2 linked regions of the Macaca mulatta genome follow. The protein of the gene in region 1 interacts with the protein of each later gene in a pairwise test. Links are inferred from orthologs where the notes say so. Each region holds a gene or a part of one and is shown on either strand. Other genes may lie near its edges.

Evidence for each region. The genes of interacting proteins can lie anywhere in the genome.
Region 2: the proteins of RXRA (region 1) and NR0B2 interact in a two-hybrid assay, tested with the Homo sapiens proteins (2 studies listed by BioGRID and IntAct). The link is inferred for Macaca mulatta from reciprocal best matches to the Homo sapiens genes RXRA and NR0B2.

What each region holds. Positions count from the first base shown.
Region 1 is NC_133420.1:8,157,040-8,160,784, reverse strand, and holds the start of RXRA (retinoic acid receptor RXR-alpha), read left to right. Parts: upstream 1-1,335; 5' UTR 1,336-1,345; coding exon 1,346-1,556; exon of another isoform or gene 1,557-1,602; coding exon of another isoform or gene 1,603-1,807; intron 1,808-3,745. UniProt on the Homo sapiens protein: Receptor for retinoic acid that acts as a transcription factor.
Region 2 is NC_133406.1:214,067,636-214,071,380, reverse strand, and holds the start of NR0B2 (nuclear receptor subfamily 0 group B member 2), read right to left. Parts: upstream 2,214-3,745; 5' UTR 2,153-2,213; coding exon 1,621-2,152; intron 299-1,620; coding exon 57-298; 3' UTR 1-56. UniProt on the Homo sapiens protein: Transcriptional regulator that acts as a negative regulator of receptor-dependent signaling pathways. Specifically inhibits transactivation of the nuclear receptor with which it interacts.

The DNA of each region.
Region 1 (3,745 bases):
TTAATAAAAATGTAAATTGCCGGGCGGATGACACGCCCTGCCACGGTGTTGACCGAGATTAATTGCGGGCGCTCATGGTCAGCCTGCCTTTGTCTCTGCGCCCCGAGCGCAGCCCGGCTTCTCCGTCTGCCTGGGAGGCAGACACCGTGCCGTCCACCCTGATGGGGACTGCAGTGTCCGGGCTTCTGCCGAGCAGGAGGGGGGCCTGGTCAGTCAGAGCCAGCCCCTGCTGTGACCCCACACCCCTCTCCGGAGGAGCACGGGGCTGGGAGAGGACATTCAGGGGCCTGTGCTGACGGGCAGGTTCCAGGTATGCGGAGGGTCCCTGGCCAGCATGGTTAGGGAAGGCCCTCCGGGGGGATGCTGTAGGTGGACTTGTGCATGGGAAGGAGCAGCCGGTGGGGAGGTGGAGGAGGACCTCTCAGGCCAGGGGAACAGTGTGGGCAAAGGCCCCAGGGTGGGGCTCACTGGCAGGGGGTGGGGTGGTCAGTTAAGAGCTGGACGTTGAGGTCTGGCAGCCAGGAGGGGCCCGGTGGGTGACAGAGCCAGGCAGGGCATGGCCAGTGGTGCTGGGCATGTCCTGATAGTGGTGAGCATCCTTCAGAGGCTGTGAGTGCTGAGTGAGGGTCGTGGCGGCTGGTGAGGATGGACCCTAGGGGCAGGAGGGGAATCCGTGTCCACTCGGAGACGGAAGCAGAGGCAGCCGTGGCCATGACTGTGGGGGATGGAGGAGCCGGTTAGAGCCGTGGCCGACAGGCCTGGAGCAGGGGCTTGGGGTGACCCTGTGGTTTGGGCCCACACAGTGGTGCCATTTCTAGGGACGTGAGGCATCGAGGGGAGTCGGGGGTGCCAGGTGTGGAGGCAGTTGCAGTTGAGGTCATGCAGGACCCCTTGCAGGTTACAAGAGCAGTGCGCATTGAATGCCAGAGCTCTGGGGTAGACCTGGAAGCCTCCCAGGAGGCGAAACCCCAGGGTCTGTGGTTGGAGCTTGGAACATTTTAGTGGCCCCGGGGTCTGTGGTTGGAGCTTGGAACATTTTGGTGGCAGGGCCAGGGTTTTGAGAGGGAGGACAGAGCAGCATTTGCTGGCGCAGCGGGCATCGTGGTGCGATGGTTTCCAGGATGCAGGGCAGTGAGAGCCAGGTGCAGCTCCTCTGAGCTCAGGCTGGCTGGGAGGGTCCCCGCAGCCCAGTTTTGTCCCAAGGTCCCCCAGGGCCCATGTGGCCGCTTGTCCCCTGCTGCAGATGGAGGCCAGTCACGGACAGAATGTTGATCTGGTCCCGGGGGATGCAGGTGGCCGACACGTGGGTTGAGTCTTGGCTGAGTTCAGCCAGGCTCGAACAGCCATGCTGCTGTGGGATTGCGATGGAGGGCTGGCTCCTGCTCAGTGCTTCCCGGCCTACGTACGCCCTGTCCTCGGGGTCCTAGGCTGCATGGCACCTGCCCATCCATCCGCTGTCAAAGGCATCACGTGTCCGCTGTGTGCTGCCTCAGGCCCAATGCAGGGTTCGGTGGTCAGAAGACTTCACGTGCCTCCCCCGGATGCTGGATGTCGAGGTGGGTGAAACTGGGCCTGGGGTTGCAGTCCCTGAGGGAGAGCTGAATGTGTGTGCGTGGCTTTAAAACACCCAGAAGCCCCAGACCTTGGCAGGACCTGACTTTGGACACCAGCTCTGTACCGCCTGAGTGCCAACCGTGGCATTGCGCCAGCAGGGCCTTGAGACTCGGGAGGGGCTGGCATATCCGAGACCCAGTTCTGTCACTTGCAGTGAAGGGCTGGTCCCCGCTGAGAAGGCTGGTGATGCACGGTGGGTACGCCGCTTCCCGGGAGGGGACCTGTGCTGTCCCTGAATTCACCGAGGGCCAGGAGGGGTCCCAAACACTGACCCGCCTCGTGAGGGCCTGCACAGAGGCTCTTGCAGGAGAGGGGTCTGGCTGGGCCTGCAGACCCCAGCTCCCTGTCCCAGCCTGGCCCCAAGCTCCCGCTTCCTCATGCTGGGCACCCGGGGAGCCCTGCTGACCCCTGCTCTGCACCTGGACAGCTGGGTGTCGGTGGTGGGCCTGCTGAGGGTAGCTCTGGACAGGGGTGCCTCGGCCTGGTGGAGGGCTTGGCCGAACTTGGTGGCAGGGAGGGAAGCCTCTCCACGGGGAGCAGGAGGGAGGATAGGGACGGCTGGTTGGTGGGGAAAGAGAAGAGGCTGGCTCAGGTGGCCTGGGGTCTTCGGCTGCCACATGTGGCAGTGGTACTGCAGGGGTGGCTCGGCCCTGAAGCTCGTGGCGGGTAGAGCATGCATGGACAGGGACCCAGCAACTTGGCGAGCATGGGCCAGATGGGCAGGGTTCTCAGGTGGCCCCATGCGTGGGTGCCATCAGGAGACCCCGCATCGGGCGAGGTTACCTGTGTGCCTGCTGACTTGTCTCATGAGGTTTGGGGACTTTAGTTCTACCTGAATGCCCGTCTCCCTGGAGGCACAGGGCTGTGCACAGGGTTCCCCAGGGCTGGGCCTGCCGGGCGGTGTCCACCCGGGAAAGCTGCTTGGAGGAGGGGCAGAGCTGGGCTGGCTCGGGTGGGCGGACGGGTGCCGCAGGCTCTCCTGGGGTGGGAGTGGGGTGGACAGTGTGCACGATCTCGCCCTGCCTGTGACACCTTCCTCTCCTCCTAGTTGGGTCAGCTTCTGGCTGCGGCTGGTGTCTGGAGGTCCGCAGGCACCGCTGGGACCCCTGCGCCAAGCCCAGGACCCCTGGTTCATGCCTCTTTCCAGAGCACTTGCCGGCCTATGGTCGGGAGGAGCAGACCCGCCAGATGGCTGTGTGTGTGTTGAGGGAGGGTGGAGGATGGGGGTGCAGCCGCCCAGAGATACCAGGAGATGTCATGCCGATCGCACGCTTTGATTAAACAGCCTGTCTGGGGCCGAGTGGGCAGCTGGTCAGTGTCAGGCTCCCAGGGCAGGATGTATGGAAACCACCGGGGGAGGGAGGAACTGGCCCCCGAGAGCCGGTGGGGCTGGAGCCGCGGAGTGGCCTGAACACAGCGCTGCTGCATCGTTCCCTGGCCCCCGCCTCGCCAGCTGCAGCCTTGGAAGGCCCTTTGCCCCTCCAAGCCTCAGTTGCCTTTTCTGTAAGGGGGGATGGCTGTCCTCGCCCCCTGGGTGGTGGCTCAGAGCTGGATATGCTGTGTAGTAGTCACATGGGTGGCATACTGGTGGCTGGGGTCCCCAGGGGCTGCCCGTGGGTGGTCAGCTCCATTTGGAGGCCTGTGGTTTCCGGCTAGTGTCTTCCACCAGGCACAGCAAGCCCCAGACGATGCTACATGAGGATTGTGTGGGCCCCTGTGCTGTGCCCGGGCTGTGCTCACCCACATGGGGAGCCTGAGGCACTGCCCACTGGGGCCTCCCTGGCCCAGCTCCACTCTGCCCTTCCCCACGAGAACCAGCCTCCCCCCGGGAGCAGCTCCATCTGGGGCATTTTCATGCCTTCTGCTGAGGTGGGTGGGGGTGGGGATTGGGCCAGTGGCTCCGCTTTCCTCGGCCGCCTGTCCCCACTGCATGAGGAGACGCATTCGAGGGGCTGAGAGGCTGAGCCCGGGGCCCGGCCTGGCTTGGGTGGTGTCTCCCCTGCCACCTTGTCCTCATCTGTACTGAGGGTCAGCATCAGCATCTCGGCTGTATGATGGTGCGGAGGCCACCTGTCCTGCACCCACAGGAGGCCCTGTGCCTCAGCAAGGGGGGGCCGAGCTTCCCTCACCT
Region 2 (3,745 bases), on another chromosome or scaffold:
GCTGAATCAGCACTGCCAGCCTCTGCCCACCTGATCTCTGCCTGGGCTGCAGCTGGTCACCTCAGCAAGAGCATGTCCCCAAGAAGGCCAGCGATGTCAACATCTCCAATGATAGGGCGAAAAAAGAGGTCCCCAAGCAGGCTGGTCGGAATGGACTTGAGGGTGGAGGCTGTGAGGAGGACACGGGCCAGGCGGCCTTGGGCTGCTGGGCACCAGGGCTCCAGGACTTCACACAGCGCCCAGTGAGCCTCCTGCTGCAGGTGCCCAATGTGGGAGGCGGCTTGGAGGCCTGGCACATCTGTGGGCAGAGAGGGAGAAGAGGGTTGGTGAGCATCCTACTCCCAGCCACCAAAGGAAGAGACTGGCCCAAGATCTGGGCCATCAGAGACACCCCTCTGCCTCCTTTGCTCGGCCTTTGAGGTCCCACTACTACCTCCTCCTTTGGAGGAGGTAATTTATTTATCAATTTCCATTGTATTCATCCATCCATTTATGAAGAGGCAGTATGGAGTAATGGTTAAGAATCAGGTTTCCTGAGTATGAATCCCAGTACTGTCACTTAGCTGGGTGACCTTGGGCAAGTAACTTAATCTCTGGGCTTCAGTTTCTTTATTTGTAAAACGAGGATAATAATATTAATAGGACCTGTCTCCTAGGTTTTTATGAGATTTAAATGAACTAGTATATGTAAAACCCTTAGAATAGGGCCTAACATATGGTAAGTGTGATATGAGTATTTGCTACTATTATTGCAATTAACTACTACGATTTATGCGTGCCACAGGGACTCCTGGGGAACGCTCATCTCAGATGCTCTCCAGATTACAAAGAGCACTGTCTCATCTGCCACTCTCCTGGCCAAATTCCACAAAGACTCCCTTCCTGTCCTCCCTACACCCCTTTCAGTTCTCTCTTCTAAGTGATCTTTCTGAACCCACAGAGGAGTTTCAGCTCTAGAGCTTCACCATGCAGCCTTCCTTTGAAGATGTGACTGAGACACAGCTGTGTCTGCCCACCCCACCTCCCCCGCAGCCTTCTCTAAAGGTCAGAGCAAATTTCTCAGGCAGAGTGGCAAGGGCCAGTCTCTGGAGTGAATAGACCTGAGTTGCCATCCTGGTCTGTCCCTACCTGGCTGTGTTACCTTTAGCTCGTCACTTAGCTTCTCTGTACCTCTTCTGTGAGATGGCTATTTGATGAAAATGAGGAACCGGCCAAGCACAGTGGCTCACGCCTGTAATCCAGCACTTTGGGAGGCCAAGGTGGGTGGATCACCAGAGGGATCAGGAGTTCAAGACCAGCTTGACCAACATGGCGAAACCCCGTCTCTACTAAAAAATACAAAAATTAGCCGGGAGTGGTGGCGGGCACCTGTAATCCCAGCTACTTGGGAGGCTGAGGCAGGGAAAATTGCTTGAACCCAGGAGGCAGAGGTTGCAGTGAGCCAAGATCGCGCCATTGCGCTCCAGAGTAGGTGACAGAGTGAGACTCTGTCTCAGAAAAAAAAAAAAAAAGAAAATGTGGACCCCATGAGATTACAGATATCAAACCCTTAGAAGTTACCTTCCCTGGCTGGCTCCTGCTTCAGCCTTGCCCCCTACCCAGGAGTGTCTGGGAGCTCACCAGGGTTGAAGAGGATGGTCCCTTTCAGGCAGGCATATTCCTTGGGGCTCAGCTCCAGGCCCCAGAAGGACTCCAGACAGCACTGAAGCCACTGCACTGCAGCCAGGGAGGGCTGGGGTCTGTCTGGCGGCTGGCCACTGCCTCCACTGCTGCTGGGCTCCTCCAGTAGAATCTTCTTGAGTATGCTGGGCACCGGGGCCTCAGCCACTTCAAAGGTCACAGCATCTTGGGCCAACCCAAGCAGGAAGAGGGGGCCCCAGCAACCCTGCAGCAGCCGCCGCTGGTCCTGGGGAGGCAGCTGCCAGAAGGATGGCAGGTTCCTGAGGAAGGCCACTGTCTTGGCCAGAACATCCAAGGCCTCCCGGCAGGTGCGATGAGGTGCACATAGCTGGACGGGCCGGTGCTGCCTACATAGGCAGCGGCTACGGGGTCGGGGGACAGCCCTGAGGCTGGAGCTCAGAAGTGCGTAGAGAATGGCTGGGCGGCTTGCAGCTCCCTGGCATGGGCAGGCCCCTGGTTGGCTGGTGCTCATGGTTGGGATCTGCCCTTACTTCCAGCTCTCTGGCCCTCTGTTCTGCGCCGTGGGTGCTATTTATATTCCCAGTGAGTGGAAGGGGGGGAATGGCCCGACAACCTTGACTCCAGAAGTCATGTTCATTGAAAAAAACACACAGACACTGCCCCTGGCAGGAATGGTGGGGAAGTGGTGGGGGAGGGGGCATTGGGAACCCCACGTGGCACTGATATCACTTCAGTCAATGAAGTGGCCGGTGCAGGGCACAGGGCCACCTGCCGCTCACTCAGCTGCCCCTTATCGGATGACTCAAGTGGATAAACAAGGTCATTAACCCAGGTTGTACCAGGGCACCAAGGCCCCAGGTGCACAATCAGCAGGTGTCCCCATTGGTGCCTGCTCTTGTGTGCACAAAAGACTAGCGCTTTCGCTAAGCCAGGAAGTCAGCCCCAGAGCTGGGTGGGCCTTGAATGCAAGGCCCGACCTGGAAGTGCCTTATCACTAGCTTGTTTGCCTAACCTTGGGGCCCTGCTTCTGTTGTCGGCCAGGAGCAGGCTACAGGGAAGGGAGCCAGGACCCTGGGGGGGCTGGGAGGACTTTGCCCGCTGTCCAGTCTCGGAGGCCCCCTTCCTCTGGTTTCAGTTCTGGGCCCCCTGCAGGAATAAGGTCCTTCAGAATCCCTATCCCCTGCCTGATTCCTTTTTTTTTTTTTTTTTTTTTTTGAGACGGAGTCTGCTCTGTCGCCCAGGCTGGAGTGCAGTGGCCGGATCTCAGCTCACTGCAAGCTCCACCTCCCGGGTTTACGCCATTCTCCTGCCTCAGCCTCCCGAGTAGCTGGGACTACAGGCGCCCGCCACCTCGCCCGGCTAGTTTTTGTACTTTTTTTTAGTAGAGACGGGGTTTCACCGTGTTAGCCAGGATGGTCTCGATCTCCTGACCTCGTGATCCGCCCGTCTCGGCCTCCCAAAGTGCTGGGATTACAGGCTTGAGCCACCGCGCCCGGCCTTTCCCTGCCTGATTCCTACCACTCCTGAAAGTCCAGTTCTGCTGAGAAGAACTCACAGAGTTATAATAAAAGATAGTTGCCAGCTGGGCATGGTGGCTCATGCCTGTAATCCCAGCACTTTGGGAGGCCGAGGAAGGGGGATCATTTGAGGTCAGGAGTTCAAGACCAGCCTGGCCAACATGGCAAAATCCTGTCTCTACTAAAAATACAAAAATTAGCCGGGCATGGTGGCATGTGCCTGTAGTCCCAGCTACCCTAGAGGCTGAGGCAAAAGAATCACTTGAAACTGGGAGGCAGAGGTTGCAGTGAGCTGAGATCATGCCACTGTACTCCAGCCTGGGCAACAGAGCAAGACCCTGTCTCAAAAAAAAATGTGTGTGTGTGTGTGTGTGTGTGTGTGTGTATATATATATATATGGTTGCCATTCTCTGAGCACCTGTTATGTGTCAGGCACTTCCCACTCTAATATTGGCAGCCTCCTTCTAAGGCTAGATTCTTACTTTGTGAGACTAAAAAAGTTAAAGTGACTTGCCCAAGGTCATCCCACCAGGAAGACCAAGCCCAGATCTTGCCTGACTCCAAAGTCCTTGTTTGTTCCCCTGGA